Linked DNA regions of Schizosaccharomyces pombe. The protein of the gene in region 2 binds, or shares a complex with, the protein of the main gene of each other region. Each region holds a gene or a part of one and is shown on either strand. Other genes may lie near its edges.

Region 1 (3,561 bases), 1.7 Mb from region 2:
TTTTCAACTTCCCACTTACGAATTCACTGGATGACGGGGGTATTGTAAGCTTATTCACTTTCTTGACAAAATAATGGTGTCTGAGGTACGTTTACTGTACATATACTGTATTTTATTATTTATTCGTTCGTATGTGGGAAAGAGAAATATTATGTTTTACAGACACGGTGGGGAGTTAGGTGAAGAAAGAAAATGATGCGAGTACGGGAAAATTTGTATGAAGGTTGAAAGGTATGGTAGTAGACAGGATACATAAAGTCACAATATTTCATGTTTTAAATTTTATTTCAATTTATTAATAACCAAAATATTACAGACATGGATTTCGTAATAGCAATTTTTTCTGCAAGCCCCTTAAAACATCATTACAAGTTTCCTGACTTTGAGTAACTTTACCAAACCAAAATATAACAATATGCGTGATCTACATTATGTTATACTCGCTACCTTATTTCGGCGATCTCACGACCAAAAGACGCAAAATTTAATATCTCTTTATTTTCTTTCTTAAAAAAAATAAAGAGATATTGTAGCAATGCGACCACTTACGGACTGATATGATATAGGATTTTTCATACAAGACTCGCAAATGGATGAGTATATAAATACAAATTATGTTAAATCATTGCTTCTAACAACCCAAACTAATCGAACCGTTGGTGAATGATGCATTTAAATTGCTATGAGGACCTGCTTGAAACTAAGTTTCGAGGCGCTGATAACAAATATCTATCAACTTTAGGTATAAAAATGTTGAAGTACGAAAACTTCTTAGGTATTATTCAGATTTAACTGCTAAAGAATAATTTTTGCAAATCTTTATGGATATCAGCAAAGGTTTCGAATTCAGAGAAAGAAATTTTCTCCCTTTCACAATATTTAATTAAATCACGTCCTTTCTTGGCAAACAAGTGTTCTGTTTCCTTCGCAGCACTCAAATCGGAAACACCATCTCCGCAATAGACCATGTGAGGACGTTTACTTTCTGGCAATTGAGCATACGGACGGATAGTAAGGCTTTTGTCGTGTCCAAAATGACTGTCATCATGATACACAATGTTCCATTGACCATCAGGATGCACATTGATGTCATTAGAAACAATTTCAATACTACTTGCTTCTTCTTTGCCAAGGTATTGCTCAAAAAGTGCACGAATAAAAGGCTCCATACCACTTGAAAGGATGATTACACGAATGTCTTGAGACTTACACCATTCATAGAATGGTTTAAATGATGGATCAATGGCGACATTCTTCTTGAGAACCTCCAAAGCTTCATCATAGCTTAAATGCACTGAATCCAACATCTTCGCGAAAGCATCACTATGAATTGTTAAGAGTTGATTTACGCGTCAAACGCTTACCGAAAAGAAATGGAACCGTCAAGAACTTGTTGATTTAGATTCACACGGTTGGCGTTGCCCATTCCAAAGTTGTCTAAAACATAGTTAGTAAACCGTCGCCGTCGAGTGTTGCAGTAATAAAGCATTCAAGGTGGGCAGGGAAATTTTTGACCCAATGTTATAAAATCATAGATTTCTCTTACAGATTTTCGTAAATCTTCAATAAATATTCAGTTAAGCTTAATTGTAAGAACATTTTCTAACTACCTTTATACATCTTTTTATATCTGTAACAATCTTCCTATTCCCAACCTTACCAGTTAAGTAGTCATTGGAATCCTGGAGTGTAATAGTTCCTAGACCCCAAAAGTTAGTTGTCTGTTTTTATTGAAATTATTTTTTCATACCGTCAAAGTCACTGAATACGTATAACTGCTTTTTCTGAGCCATAGTCCAAATCTTTTTGAATTGCTGAAATTGCTTGCTTTGTACAGCTATCCAACTCTAGGATTTAAAGTAACGAAACTTACCAGCACTGATATAAAGTTTGTTGTTTATTCCGTGATTAGCAAGCAGTCGTTTGTTCGAGTCATGATAAATGTCATATTTTATCTTTTATATGCAAAAAAATGAAATTCTTAAAGTAATTTACAGTCTTCTTTATTTTAAAGGGCTGCAGATTAAAAATCGAAATTAGTGTAGAGGTTGAATTAACTTAAAGCATATATTTATCAAAGAAAAGAAATGATATTCTATATTTCTGCAAGGGGTAAACGATATCCTCAGTACGTTTTACCATAAATCCTAAGAAAAGTGGCCCAAGCCTTGTAAAGTGAAGTGTAATTTTTTTTTTTTTTGTTTTTTCTTTTTAAATTTCAAATGCTTTTTACATCTACAACATTCTCTCAAGCGTGAGTTTCGCTTATCCTAATGTTAGCTACGCAGTTTCGTATTCGTTTTAATGATACGTAGAACTGCGGTGAGTTTTCCTTGTGACCTATAATATCGCAATACACAGATAATATAAGTAGCAACTGAGTGTAGGTATTGTATTAACAAGGTTATAATGTTACCTATCACTGGTATAGCTTGTAACTGAACTGAGGAACGAGGTTTAGCAGTAGCTCTATTTATAGTATTCAGATGATATAAATATTAATAGATTATCATTAAGATCAGTCTCAATATCGTATCATACATAGTACGATATTTAATTAGGACATGTGACATATAGTGATACGCAACGTAAGTATTATAGCGTATTATAGTATTGCTGATACCTAACTATAAATAGCATATTCTAAGCTGTTTATGAATATTTCCGTAAACCAGCTTTATGGCTGGTGCAGCAGTACATTATGTTTAACTCACTATATGAAGACATGAAAGGATATAACAGTAATGTATAAGTATTAAGAAAGTATGTTGCAACGACTTTCTCAGTCTATTAAGGGATTTGCTGCTCGCTTTCCCAAAATCTATAATAAAGGAAATGGATCAGTTCAACAGACTATACTCCAAGCGAGTCAACGCTTGAATGAATTAACTGGTTATTCCTCCATTGAGGCATTAAAGAACGCGGTTGTAAAGCAGGAGACAAAGCTCCGTGATTTTAGATTATCTGCAGCTGAAGCAAGAAAGCGTTATATTGAAGCGGTTGAAAAAAGATCGTCAAGTCAACGTGAAGTCAACGAATTGTTACAACGACGTAGTAGCTGGTCTACTATTGATTTAGAAAGATTTACTAAACTATACCGTGATGATTATTCAAACAAAGAAGAAGAAATTAAGGCTCAAGAAGATGTGGATGTAGCGGAAAGGCGGGTAGAGGAAGCTCAAAATGGATTGGTGCGTTCGATTTTATCGAGATACCACGAAGAACAAGTTTGGAGTGATAAAATCCGGCAAGCAAGTACCTGGGGTACATGGGGATTAATGGGAATTAACGTTGTTCTTTTTGTGGTCGTTCAACTAATATTGGAACCAAGGAAAAGGAAACGGTTGGTTCGTGAAGCTGTGGATCACATTGACAAGGAACGAGAACTTGAAATAAATGATGAACTGAAAAAGATTTCCGAGAAACTTGATAAAAAAGGTGAAGCTGTCGGCCAAGCATTAGAGCTTACTTCTCCGAAAATTGACAATAAAAACCTTCCCAAAAATTCTGCGTCCTTAATTCTTCCTCCTATTAATTACGATACGTTTCACTCTTTTTTGG
Region 2 (3,736 bases):
TGAGAGGAGCTACACAGGGAGAATCTCCATGACACCTCTGATCAATAGCGTAAATATCCCGGTCAAGTTTGCAGGAAAACTTTTTTGCCAAACTTCTCCAATTACGCTTAGATCCCAATAGTCCGTGGAAGATCAAAACTGGGGGGTGTTTAGCAACTGTGGCAGAATACTTCTCAAAGGCTAATTTAACTGGTTTTAGAGACATAACTCTATAATTTCTTGTGCAGTAATAAATAAACACTATAAGGTCGATATAAAATAATTATAATTTAATCTGTCATGAAGTTGTAGTTGCAGGAAACGTTTGCGAATAGCAAAGTGAGCCTAATCCAAGGAATGATAAATAACTACTTATCGGCAGTGTGATCATAATCTGAATTGCTGATTATGAAAGCTAAAAAGGTCGGTTTTAAAATATTATGTAAGTAAAAACAAAAATAATTATATTAATCTAACCAAATATTCTTTTTCGAGACAAAAGCTACACCATAGTACCAAAATACAAATGTTTGTATCGCTGTTTAAGCGCAAGTTAAACTCAAAAAATAGTGAAAAGGAATGAAATTTCTTATTTAAATTATGATACAAGAACTCATTAAGCAGTCTTCAGGAAAAAAGTAGAATGGGGAAACTAACGCTTCTCCCTTAAAGTAGGCTGCACAAAACTGCAATGCTCTTAATTACATAGTGACGCGTTTAGCACAGAAACTGTATAATAAGAGCAGAAGATTGTCCGGCAGAGTATATAAGTCAATATGGAATTCACCCCCTTCAATGTCGTTTCGGACATACATGTCTGGTGTTTTGTTCTCATTCACCATCTGCACAACTTGTAACAAGTCATCCTCCTGAAGTTTTTGCAAACCCTCTGCAAGTTTATCCATGTCAACAGGTTTAGCTTTCGCCTTTTTCTTCCCAGCACCAACTTCTGATTCGTTTTTTCTTTTATCCTTACGAGCTTCTTCACCTTCATCACTGTAGCCAGGTACTTCTCCAGTGGCTGTCAGTGCCTTTAATAAACCTGGCCTAGTAGCATTGATATTCTAAGACTCAGTTAGCACCATAAAATCAGAGTCTAGTAAATGTTAAAATACTTAAAACACATACCAATTCGATATCCTCATGATAATGCTCCTGCTGAAAATGTAAATAGTGAAGGAACCGATGTTCACCACCTTTGTCCGCATAGTATATTATGATCTCCATTTCAAACTCACCCCATCCTTGCTCTTTTATTTGGAAAGGAGGTTTTCTGATAGCTAAAAAAATTAGTTAACGTTATTCTGCTAATCTTCCTTTCATCACATAATACATACTGCGTGTAGGATTTTGAAATGTTGGATGTAGCTTATAGGTGACACGATCAACAAAGGAAGCGTCAGTTTCTTCTCCCTGAGGATTTAAGCAGACCAATTTTATAGACCATTCCCTCACAGGGAAGCTTTGATCGTTCAACACAGCTGCTTCACCTCCCGGCAACACATTCTAAATATTGTAAGTTCAAAGTTCATCAAGATACTTGCAAGAAAAAGTTTTGTTTTTTATTGTTCTTCTAAATTCAATTGTACGAGCATCCTGTATAATGCCAAAGTTTTTTGTAATTGCACCTAACCTTGACCATTGGGTCAAATAACGCGCCTCGGTCGTAGCAAATGAATCAGATGGCTTTCATACCTGATCAGTAATTAATCTCACAGTTCTTTTCACAGTTGTCATATTCTTAAATCAATGTATATGAGGACGAAAAATATATGGATAGAAGACGCTTAGCGAGTCGTGAGAAGAGATATCGGGCTAACGATTCTATAACTTTTGCGGTATTCTTAAAATTGAAAAGATAAAAAATCTTGCCAATGTACGAATTGAAATAGAAGCACCAGTAATTTGTGTTCAGAAATATTGAGCACTACTACTTTTAAGGACTTCTAAAAGTCGGTTAACTCAAGGATAAAGCAAATGACTTTGGTTTAATAACAAATATCTCTTTTGTTAAAATTTATTAGCAGATTACAGGGAAGTAACTGCTAAAACTGTGAGACTATAAAACGTTTGAATAGTGGAATATGACTTTTGGGTTCGTCACGGCCCAAATTCCTGGAAAGTACAAGTAGACTTACAAACTGACAGTGAAGGTATGGTACTGCAGTGTAATATACTAAAAACTTTAATGCACAGTCAGTTTAATTTTAAAGCATAATAACGAAACTTTTGGATGCGATGAATTTTACTCGAACTATATAGTAAACAAACCCTCGAGCACCATGTTAATATAAGGCATTGGGTATATTATTTTTATGCAGAGGTAAGAGTTTATCCCGATTCCCAAGTTAGCTTATTCATAAATTGGATCTAGGCTTTAGCTGAAAGAACTTTGAACTATTGGATTCTTTTCCAGCGATGGATTAATCTGGCAACTTCTTTAGAACATTTGAGAATAACAAAAAATACCGCAGCAAAAGAACTTTGTTGCTAATACGAGAATAGTGAAAGTTGTTTAATATTTTAAAAAATTGATTGTGTCAGTAATCGATCCTCGTTATCCAGAAGCCGTGTCAGTTACGTATATAAATGGAGTGGTAGCATATGCGTTGTTCACATTGTCAATTACACCCGGCAGCTTAAGCTTTGATTTAATTTCACTTTAGTACACAGTGAAACATGACTAACGAAAGACATGATGAATTAGCATGCTTAGGCATATTCCCTTTGAAAAATCCCAAACAACTAGATGGTGTTGTTACCCCTATCTTGCAGTTGAGAGTCAAGTTTTTAGCACCCACGGATCGATGGTGGGAAGGATTAGTTATAAATAAGGACCTCAGCAAAGAGGAGTCAGAAGAGTTATGGAAATTTTTGCAAAGCTTTGACCCTCGTTCTGCCAAGTTTGTTGGTCGCGGGACACCTGAAGACCATGTGATATCGTATTTATTTGAAGCAGGGAAGTATGAATTTGAGGTATTTTTTTACCAAAAGGATCATTCTCTGAAACTTATGGGCCTCTATGATAAAACCCAAAAACAATTGTTGAGACGCGATTCTAGTGGTGACTTAACATCCACTGACAAGGAGCGGGATGTTTCTCCTGTTTCACACAGCGAAAAGCCTTACTGGGATCGTTATGATCTTGACCAACCTTCCAATCAAGATGTAGAAGAATCTAGAAACCTTGTCCAAGAACCTAAGCATCGATCGAAGAAATATGATCGTCTTGGTTTGGATGAGCTAGTAATGGAACAAACTGCTAGTCTTTGGAAAATCTGCTCCAGAAATGGCATGAGTGTCGATGAATTTCTACGCTTCATTCGCATGGGTTTGGAATCTAATTTCCAACATTCAAACCAAGTGATTCCAACGCATTTTTAACGATATTATATCATTCATATTCAATCGACACAAATGTTTAGCAACCGTTTAGTGTCTTTTACCCAAGAAATATCTAAACACTTTTTTTATTTTTATAAAATATTTGTAAATTAAAAAAAGATGATTAAAACGATAAATGCTTAATTAGGTATTTGTTGAAACACATTTCATTTTATGATAAAGAACGTTCCTAGTATCAGCATTATTTATTTAGATGTAAATTGGGAATTGAACCTAATTACACCTTTTATGTATACATTCTTCTTCACTTTCTAGCGGATTTCCAAACCGAAAGTCAAAGTCATTTGGAGATTGTATACATAGCTCTATAGCCGACGAAATTATGACCCTCAATTTTTATGGAAATAAAAAA
Region 3 (3,999 bases), 1.6 Mb from region 2:
GTTTTGACTACAAGCCTGGTGAAGGTACTAATGGGTATGTATCTTGGTTTGTCGGTCCAAACTATACTTGGTCGATGCTTGGCAGCGCCGTCGGTCAAAATGGAAATGTCGGACCTCGTCAAATTAGTGAGGAGCCAATGTCTATTATTTTCAACCTTGGAATATCAAACAATTGGGCTTATTATTACTTCCGGGATCTTTCATTTCCTGCAGTGATGTACATAGATTACATTCGTATCTATCAAGACCCTGATGACACCAACTCACATATCGGATGTGATCCCCCCGGCTATCCTACTACCAAGTATATTGAAGAACATCCGTTAGCATACAAAAATCCAAATGCTACAACTTGGGAAATGGCTGGTTATACATGGCCTAAGAATTCTTTAATGCATAAATGTAACACTTAATTGCCATTATGATCATATTTTATATGAATTATCTATATATTTAAGATGCATTTCAGTTATATAACAATTAGAATTTAATGTTCATTTTTTTTTCTTTTTCAAAAAAAAAATTTAGATTACATATATATATGTCTATAAAAACTAGATAGCCAAAAGAACTTCATGCAGAATACAAATTTGAATTTGGTGAACCTAACTTATAAAGCAATTGTACGAAATTTATCGGGATATTGCTTACTTAAAGGAGAAACGGTTGTTGCCGTAGGCATCTCAAATGTCAATAATGCTTCTGCATGTTCTGTACTCATTAAATCGTCAATTATTTTCAAACCATCTTCACCGCCCAAATTAACAGCTTCTTCCAATTTCTTGTTAAACGCAAGAAGCATTTTTTTAGTAGACAAACGACTTAGTAGTAAGTTTTTTCCACGAAGATCGAGTTCAGATAATTCTAAAGAACACATCTTTTCGAGTTGTTCAAGCACCTTCATTTTAAGCTGTAACTTCTCAAGCTGAGCCTGGATTAACGAAAAAACCAAGCGTCGAAGCTGGCGATTTTCAAACGCTGCAATCAATTTTGCTTTTTGAGCAGCAGATTTTAAAGCATAATAAGCAACCCTCTCTAGTGGGTTTTTAAACTCGGAATTCCCAAAGGAGGTTTCTCCTTGTTTCACTGATTCATTTTGCTTGCGCTCTTTCATGCCTTGTTGAACAATGGAAGCCAAATATGTTAAAGTACTTAAAACTGGATTTTCATTTTCATCAAAGGGCAAAAATCCCTTTTTAAATGGGGAAAAGTCACCCTGAAGTTTCTGTCGATAGGGATCCTCTATAGGAATCTGGAGGAAATGAATCAAGCATTGCTCTTTAGTTCGTGATCCAACATGTAAAGCTATTTGATTCCAGTCGTCTCCATAAGTTTCAATAGCTTCTAATAAAAGCAAAGTTTCTTGGTTAGACCATGGTTTTTCCTCGTCGTGATTGAAATCAATCGCATCCATGCACAAAAAATCAGAGGAATTAAAGGAAGAAGAAAACCTCCCTTGTTTATAACAGTTTGGACAGATGTCATATTTTTTGTTTTTTAAGTTGTGATACCAAGTTTGAGAGCAATTAACACCGCAAGTGAAACAAACTTTATCGACTCGAGGGACTTTGTCGCTTTTTTCATCTTCTTCTTTGGGAGAGGTTTGTTCCATTGCATTTAAACTAGGGCTGTAATGCTTTTCTTCTAATTTAACAAATTCTTGGCTCGAAGATCCACCGACGGTACTAGGAGGAGGGTGTTGAGCTAACATTTCTTGCGTGACGATTGGAGTATTACTAATAGCTTGAACATGTCCTGAAATAGGAGGAAGTCGGAATGCAGGTCGCGTTTCAGGATCGATTTGATAGTTAATTAAGCCCCACTGTTCGAGAAATGCATGCACGCGAATTATAGCACAAACATCACCAACAAGATTTCGACGACATGCAGTAACTGTCAGGTATTCATTTGGTTCTAAACGATATGAATTAATCATAAAATCTCTATAGTCCTTGTATATAGAAGGAGTTTTGAGAGGAGATTTTCCATTAAAAAATTCGGGATTCGACCTTCGCTCAATATCGTGTATTTTCGACATGTCAAACCATCCTGCATAAGAAGGAACAATGATGGGATAAGTTTGTTCCACCAGAAAGGGTATGCGAACTTGATCGAGAGTCATCGTGAAGGTCTGATTTTTGAATAGTCCACTCACGAAAAAAATGTAATACCCACAAAATTAAGTTGTTTTTAAGTTGTAACACACTTGAAAAGTTAAGAAAGAGGCCTTAATAATAAAAATTATAAATACAAGAGAAATAGCACAATTGCCATTTAATAAATTAGAGCACTAGTTGTTGACAAGTCGTCCGGCTATACTCATTTACAAGTTACGGTGCATTTTGATAAACGTGTTTTAAGAAACAATAGCTTAACTACATATTAAGGCCATTTCGCTATATTTAATTCGACACGCTAATTATCACTATGTTTTTTCCTAATAAAAAGTTACGTTAGTTAATGGATACAACAAAAGAATTTGTAGTAATTGAATGAATATAAGGTGGGTCTATGGGTACGAATGGTAAATTGACGATCTTATATTATAAGCCAGAGAACATTTGAGACTGTTACACGCATATATCGAGGGCTATCCTTCTTAGAATATCACTCTACTTTATTCGGATAACTCAAGTTTTCAAGTCAAAAGAAAGCATCTAGAAAATGATTGTTCTTAGTTACATACTTTTGTCGAAAAGCTGAAACTGTCACAAATCTTCTGATTTTTTGTGAAAAAATCTAATTTCTATAAGAAAAAAACAAGGGACCAACCGGATTTGAACCAGTGACCTGGGGATCTGCAATCCCTCACTCTAACCACTGAGCTATGACCCCTTGCGACAATTGCAAGGCAAAAAATGAATTATAAGATCTTTTTACGATTTTATTAAGTTGAGCAATTAGAAATCAAAGTTTCCGCTAAGGCTCGAAAGAGAATCTTGCCAAGCTTTGAATATATTTATAAAGGTTGCTTTAAATAGCGCGAACGCAACTATCTGAACAATTTTTAACGGAAACCGCTTCAGCAGTAAGAAGAAAATATTTCTATTTTAGCATTCAAAATGCAGTTACTAAGTATGATTGATTTCAAGGCTTATTATAAACCGGCATTTTACAATGTACTTAGTAATTTATGGAGATGAGAACTCCTTAAAATATAGCTTCGTGATCCTTCAAATCCTATCCAACTCAATTTACTTGAAAAATTTGAAATTTCCGGCGCTCGTTAATTATCAAACTGAAAAACCAGCTAAAAGAATGCGGGCATTATTCACCGAATAGCCTCAAAGTATCTAACGATATCGATAAGTTATCTACAGGTGCAAAACTTCCACTGTTATAATTGTAACTTTTTCAAGCGGGCTTCGGTTAACAGAATTTTATAAACATGTACAAATTGCTCATTTCCTAAGCAATCCAGAATTTTGCCTTCACCGACAAATTACTGATGAGGATCACGGCGAAATGGCAAACTTGAAAAATGTAAATTGCATCTTGCTTCGAAAGCTATTTCACGCTAAATTAATAATTTTATAGTAAAAGAATAAACAATGCTGATCTCAAAATTTGTATACATTTGATAAAAAGGCATAATTTTGTTGGGTTCGATGCTTAGTAATAAAATTATAGTTCGAGAATATATGGTTACTATATGGCTAGAGAAAAATGATATTTTTTGATTATTTTGCGATTATATGTGTTGCCAAATTATAAAGCCTGCTATATCCTGGCGGATCTAATTTCTTACTCCGGGCGCTCACAACATTTTGGCAGTTTATTCCGTTATCCATTAAAGTGGTAAATTTTTTGGAATGGTTTGAAAGTTAACCTTAACCATCTCCCAGTTGTGGCACCAACACCAACAATTTGGTATTTTTGTATAATTATCAATTTATAAGTTTTATTTATAATTGATATTTTGAAAAAAAAGTACTAGTTACTTATCTTCAAACTGAAAAGGTTGTGATTTGCGATTTTCTTACTATTGTAAAAAGTCGC
Region 4 (4,517 bases), on a different chromosome or scaffold from region 2:
TTTGCGCGTTGTTCAATCTCACCCAAATTGAACTGGATAAACGGAAGACATGGTTCCAACAACTCATTAGCAAGTTTACGAGACTTTTGATCTAAAAAAGGTATGCCTCTAGCTTCCTTTGGTGAATCGTCAGACGCAACCGTCATGGCGATGGTCAAGATGTAAACAAGCACAATGCGTTTGAGAGAATCTGTCTCGGTGAACTAAGGAAATTGAAGTCACCGAGTTCACCGAACCTTAATTGTTAAAAACAATATTTCATACTAAACAGGTCAACAGTAAAACGTTAAAGAGTATTTGAATCATCCTTGTACTCGGTTGGAATTACAAATTCTTATGCAAAAAGCTTTGCTTTACGTATACAGCAAGTGTGAAGTCAAGTCTGTCTATGTGGATGTGAAAGGGCTTAAAAAGTATAAAATTAAAAATTTTAAAATACTATTTTCAAACATCGATTGTTCTCGTTTAGCTCTTACTATCATTTAAAAGCCAATACATATGAATTCACAGAATCAGCAGTGAATTATTTGGGCCCTTAGGGACAGCAATAGGGAAATGATATTTAATATTGGTAAAAAGTGTTCAGAATTTAGAGAAATAACTGAATGGATGATATTTCAAACCCTCTTACTACTAACAGCCGTGGTCGCTCATACTCATACGTTTAATGACCCATAATTGAATATAGGATTAAGAAATCGTCAGAAATTTAAAAATAAATATATATAAACTAGCAAAAAATATTTTAGTATAGATAAGGCTACCATTGTCTCGTGGTGTGCGATTTCCCAATAAAGCTATTTGCTATAAGCGTTTTGCTTTTGTAGGTAAATATCAAAGCCATTAGTTAATTAAAGGAAATGGGACAGAATCTGGAAAATCAAGTATTGTGCCTCGGTTGACACTCGTAAACTAGAAGAGATTATGTTCAACTCGCATTACAATATCATATACATGAAACCAAATAGTCTCCTCCATTTTCAGCAGAAGAAATAATGAAATCGTTAAATATTTACATGCTGATTTCGTTAGAGATTTATTCAAAAACTGATTACTTACTCCTCAATTGCCCACATATGTGCCTCGTGTTCTTGTGCCTTTCTCTCATTTTGGCGCTGAAACCATTTATTTTCAAATCCATTACCACGAATAATTCCATCCCAACGATGGCCAGGTCGTATATTAAACCTATTGGGAGGCGCATATCCTTGATAAGTAGCTTTTGATGATACAGGTTTATTAGTGAGAAACGAAGCAGCTGGGTCATTCCAACGAGACCTTTCTTTCAATTCCTTATTGTATTCAGGATCGTCCTCATAACGCGCCAATGGCACCGTTTTTTGCCTTTCAAGTTCTTTTAGGTATTCTTTCTGTTGACGCACTTGAACCACACCTTGTTGTTGTTCCTTCTGTCTTCTAGCTTCTTCCTCTTTCTCTTTTAATTTTCTTTTGGCTTCTTTTCTTGCAAGAACCAGATCTATCCTTCTCCCTGTGGCATCTCTGTAAACAGTTTCGCGACTTTTGCGAAGCTCTTCCTCATCAAGATTGGATGATTTCTCTTCTCTCTTTCTTCTTTCTTCAGCTTTAAAGGTCACCTGCTTTCCAGTTAACAGACCGAACTGAGGAATTGATTCAGCATCATGAGAATCCTGTTGTTCAGATTCGACAACTTCATCATTCCCCACAGCTTTCCACAACTGAGCAGGTTTATTAGTAGTTTTTTCTATATTCTGATAAATAGCATCAATATCTCGATCTTTAAGGCTTTCATTTGCGACAATTGTAGGGGCATCATGCAAAGATGTGAGTTCTCTGTTGACTAGTGAAAATGAATTGTCATCGTCCCATCCAGCGACATCTTCATCCTGAATTTCTACAAAATCCTTCTCTTTCTTCTTTTTCTTTTTCCCTTGATCTTTTCGTAAATACTTTTTAGCAATATAGTCGGCGTTTGACATATGTGCTGAATGCATATTTTCTTACCTGAGCGCTTCTTAACTCGCTACCTTCCAACACCGGCGGAAGATCAGTATTGACATATTTTATCGGAGAACATGGATTCACAAGAGACAAAAGTTTTTGAAAATGTAAAGCAGGAAAATCCTGATGAGAAGAAACCCAAAGTTGAGGAGCCTGACTCCCAAAATAATGCTTCGACACAATCGCAGCAAAAATTTTTGGATTTCCAGCTTTCATGGTGTCCAGAGAGTGAAAGAAAAACAACTAAATACCATTTATTAAAATTTCACTCTAACAAAGCCATTGATCCTTCCAAATCCTTTGTGCCACCCATAAAAATGCAACGCAGAGACCCCAATGCTCCATCTTCGTCAAACGGAGAACAAAATGCAGAACAAGGAAGCTCCAGTAACGTGAACATCGCTTCAATCGCTCCTTACGGTGGCGCTCAAAACATGAAGCAGAATGCCTTTAAAAGGAAAACTCGCCAGGTCGTCAAAGTTGATCCACAGGCCCGCAGACTACAAGAGGAGGAGTTATCTCCTTGGATTATGGAAGATTTTGAAGGAAAAAACACATGGGTTAGTACGATGGAAGGCGGCCAATCGTCTGCATATGTATTGTTCATGTTCTCTGTAAGTTTTTATCCCATTTGAAGATGTTGGATGTTTATCATTCATCTTTTGATCATTTAAGATTTTTTATGCTTACTCTATAGGAAAATGGTTTTAAGGTGATTCCAACTGATAGATTTTATCGATTTAATCAACGTAACAATTTCCAAACGCTTTCAATTGATGAAGCGGAGGCAAAGGTCAGTCCTTATTTCCATCAGGTCTTGTCTAACCCATTTAGATGAATAAAAAAACTCCGATTCCTCGCTGGTTTATGAAAAAGGAGAGTGAAGAAAACTTAGCAGAGGCAGGCTCTGCTTCACCCATGTATAAACTTAAGACGGTTCCAAATGCACGTCCTGTAACGGGACCGAGAGCTAGTGGAAGTGATGATGAACTAGATTATGACGAGGAATTCGCTGACGATGAAGAAGCACCTATTATGGAAGGAAATGAAGAAGATAATAAGAAGTTGAAAGACAAGATTAAAAAGGAAATGCTAACTGCCAATTTGTTTGGTGAAGCTGATCAAGATGTCGACCTTGAAGAGGAGAATGATAGACAAATGTCGCGTGAAGGAAAAAAGCTGCAAAGATACTTAAAATTGCTTGAAAAGAATTTAGCTTATGAGAGTGATGAGGAAGATGAGGACCCTTATGCTTCCTCCCATGATGCGTCTAGTGAAGAAGAAGTTTTGCAAGAAGAAGAAGAATTGCAAAAGCGTGAAGAAAAACTAAAGTCTAGATTTTCTGCGAACGCTTCCAAAACTAATACACCAAGACCACTAGAACGAACGCCAAGCAGCGTATCTCCTGTCAAAGCTTCATCGCAACTACAATCACCTAATACTTCTATTCAAATAAGGCCTCAAGAACAACTTATTAACAAACCTGGATATATAATTCTCCGCTTATCAAGTGAAAAGTTATCACGGTTTGCCAATGACTTTCCCCGTATGGTCCCTAGCATGGGGTCTACAGAAACGAGTGTAGGAGATCAAGTGGAGGTTGTGGGAGATACTACAAATGTTCCAATTGATGGTATGCTAAAGTTTTACATTTACCAGAAAATTTATTAACGTGCTTTTAGATTCTAATCTGATTACGGAGGCAGAGGTAATGAAGGCTTTAAGAGCTGGTCCCATTTCTATTAAGGATCTAGTTCACCTGTTCCAACGCAAAATTAGAGCCGACAACAGAAATCGGTTGGGAATACAGAAGATCATTCGAAAGGTTGCTCGATTTGAGAACAAGCTACTCGTTTTAAAAAACTAGTTATGAATTATCTATGTAATAACGTTTATATATTAATGAACATTAAAGAAAACATTTGTTTTATTTTTGGAAACAAAATTCAAAATTGCATTAATTTAAGAGCATAGTAGAACTATTACAATTTAACATTTCCCCTAAAATAGAAAACGTCGGATTGTTAAGAAGTGCACTCGTCGATCGGTATAGTATCAAATACACGAGTTTACGATCGCGATGTTCAACTATGCTACTATATAACTGTAAATGTGTATAAAATATATAAAGAAGAAAAATAACAAACCATTTCTTTAAGACATGGTAAACAGCTGTGCTAAGAATTCTATATACACAAGTCATTATATAAAATCATTCCATGATGCCGTATGTCGTAATGATAATAAGAAAAGGGGGTTGTAAACAATTATACATTAAAGCCGTTAAAATTAGCAGCCTACAAAGGTAGCTCGAAGCTAACATTCACATCGGCTTCACGTGCCATTTCGACAACGCGACTGAAACGACAAGCCTTCTTAGCTGCTTCATCAAGATCATCAAATGAGAAAATACGGAGACCTGAGTTGTTGATTACCTCTTTGGCAGCACCTTGGTTGGTTCCTTGAAGTCTGCAAATAATAGGTATGTTCAGATTCAACGCTGATACTACCGAGATAAGACCTTTGGCAATAACGTC

Evidence for each region.
Region 1: tfg3 (region 2) and ptf1 share a complex: the UniProt entries of both Schizosaccharomyces pombe proteins name them as parts of the mst2 complex.
Region 3: tfg3 (region 2) and ssr2 share a complex: the UniProt entries of both Schizosaccharomyces pombe proteins name them as parts of the SWI/SNF global transcription activator complex.
Region 4: tfg3 (region 2) and tfg1 share a complex: the UniProt entries of both Schizosaccharomyces pombe proteins name them as parts of the fcp1/TFIIF/polII complex.

Annotation. Positions count from the first base shown.
Region 1 is NC_003424.3:2,604,417-2,607,977, reverse strand, and holds ptf1 (phosphoric monoester hydrolase), read right to left. Parts: upstream 1,827-3,561; 5' UTR 1,794-1,826; coding exon 1,751-1,793; exon of another isoform or gene 1,700-1,750; coding exon 1,661-1,699; intron 1,605-1,660; exon of another isoform or gene 1,438-1,604; coding exon 1,365-1,437; exon of another isoform or gene 1,324-1,364; coding exon 789-1,323; 3' UTR 564-788; downstream 1-563. Other genes in the region: protein She9, read left to right, coding at 2,766-3,561. UniProt on the Schizosaccharomyces pombe protein: Component of the mst2 complex which is a highly specific H3 lysine 14 (H3K14) acetyltransferase that functions together with gcn5 to regulate global levels of H3K14 acetylation (H3K14ac), critical for DNA damage checkpoint activation.
Region 2 is NC_003424.3:893,346-897,081, reverse strand, and holds tfg3 (TFIID, TFIIF, Ino80, SWI/SNF, and NuA4 complex YEATS family subunit Tfg3), read right to left. Parts: upstream 2,084-3,736; 5' UTR 1,717-2,083; coding exon 1,675-1,716; exon of another isoform or gene 1,486-1,674; coding exon 1,317-1,485; exon of another isoform or gene 1,260-1,316; coding exon 1,108-1,259; exon of another isoform or gene 1,044-1,107; coding exon 681-1,043; 3' UTR 535-680; downstream 1-534. Other genes in the region: SPOM_SPAC22H12.03 (hydrolase), read right to left, coding at 1-205; protein mug35, read left to right, coding at 2,659-3,363. UniProt on the Schizosaccharomyces pombe protein: Functions as a component of the DNA-binding general transcription factor complex TFIID, and the RNA polymerase II associated general transcription factor complex TFIIF.
Region 3 is NC_003424.3:2,509,374-2,513,372, reverse strand, and holds ssr2 (SWI/SNF and RSC complex subunit Ssr2), read right to left. Parts: upstream 2,293-3,999; 5' UTR 2,123-2,292; coding exon 611-2,122; 3' UTR 527-610; downstream 1-526. Other genes in the region: SPOM_SPAC23H3.11C (glucosidase), read left to right, coding at 1-413. UniProt on the Schizosaccharomyces pombe protein: Component of the chromatin structure remodeling complex (RSC), which is involved in transcription regulation and nucleosome positioning. Controls particularly membrane and organelle development genes.
Region 4 is NC_003421.2:2,160,661-2,165,177, reverse strand, and holds tfg1 (transcription factor TFIIF complex alpha subunit Tfg1), read left to right. Parts: upstream 1-2,004; 5' UTR 2,005-2,054; coding exon 2,055-2,594; exon of another isoform or gene 2,595-2,677; coding exon 2,678-2,773; exon of another isoform or gene 2,774-2,784; intron 2,785-2,814; coding exon 2,815-3,613; intron 3,614-3,662; coding exon 3,663-3,847; 3' UTR 3,848-3,983; downstream 3,984-4,517. Other genes in the region: nuclear pore complex component nup97, read right to left, coding at 1-146; protein Cwf26, read right to left, coding at 1,013-1,019, 1,060-1,958; succinate-CoA ligase beta subunit Lsc2, read right to left, coding at 4,278-4,517. UniProt on the Schizosaccharomyces pombe protein: TFIIF is a general transcription initiation factor that binds to RNA polymerase II and helps to recruit it to the initiation complex in collaboration with TFIIB. It promotes transcription elongation.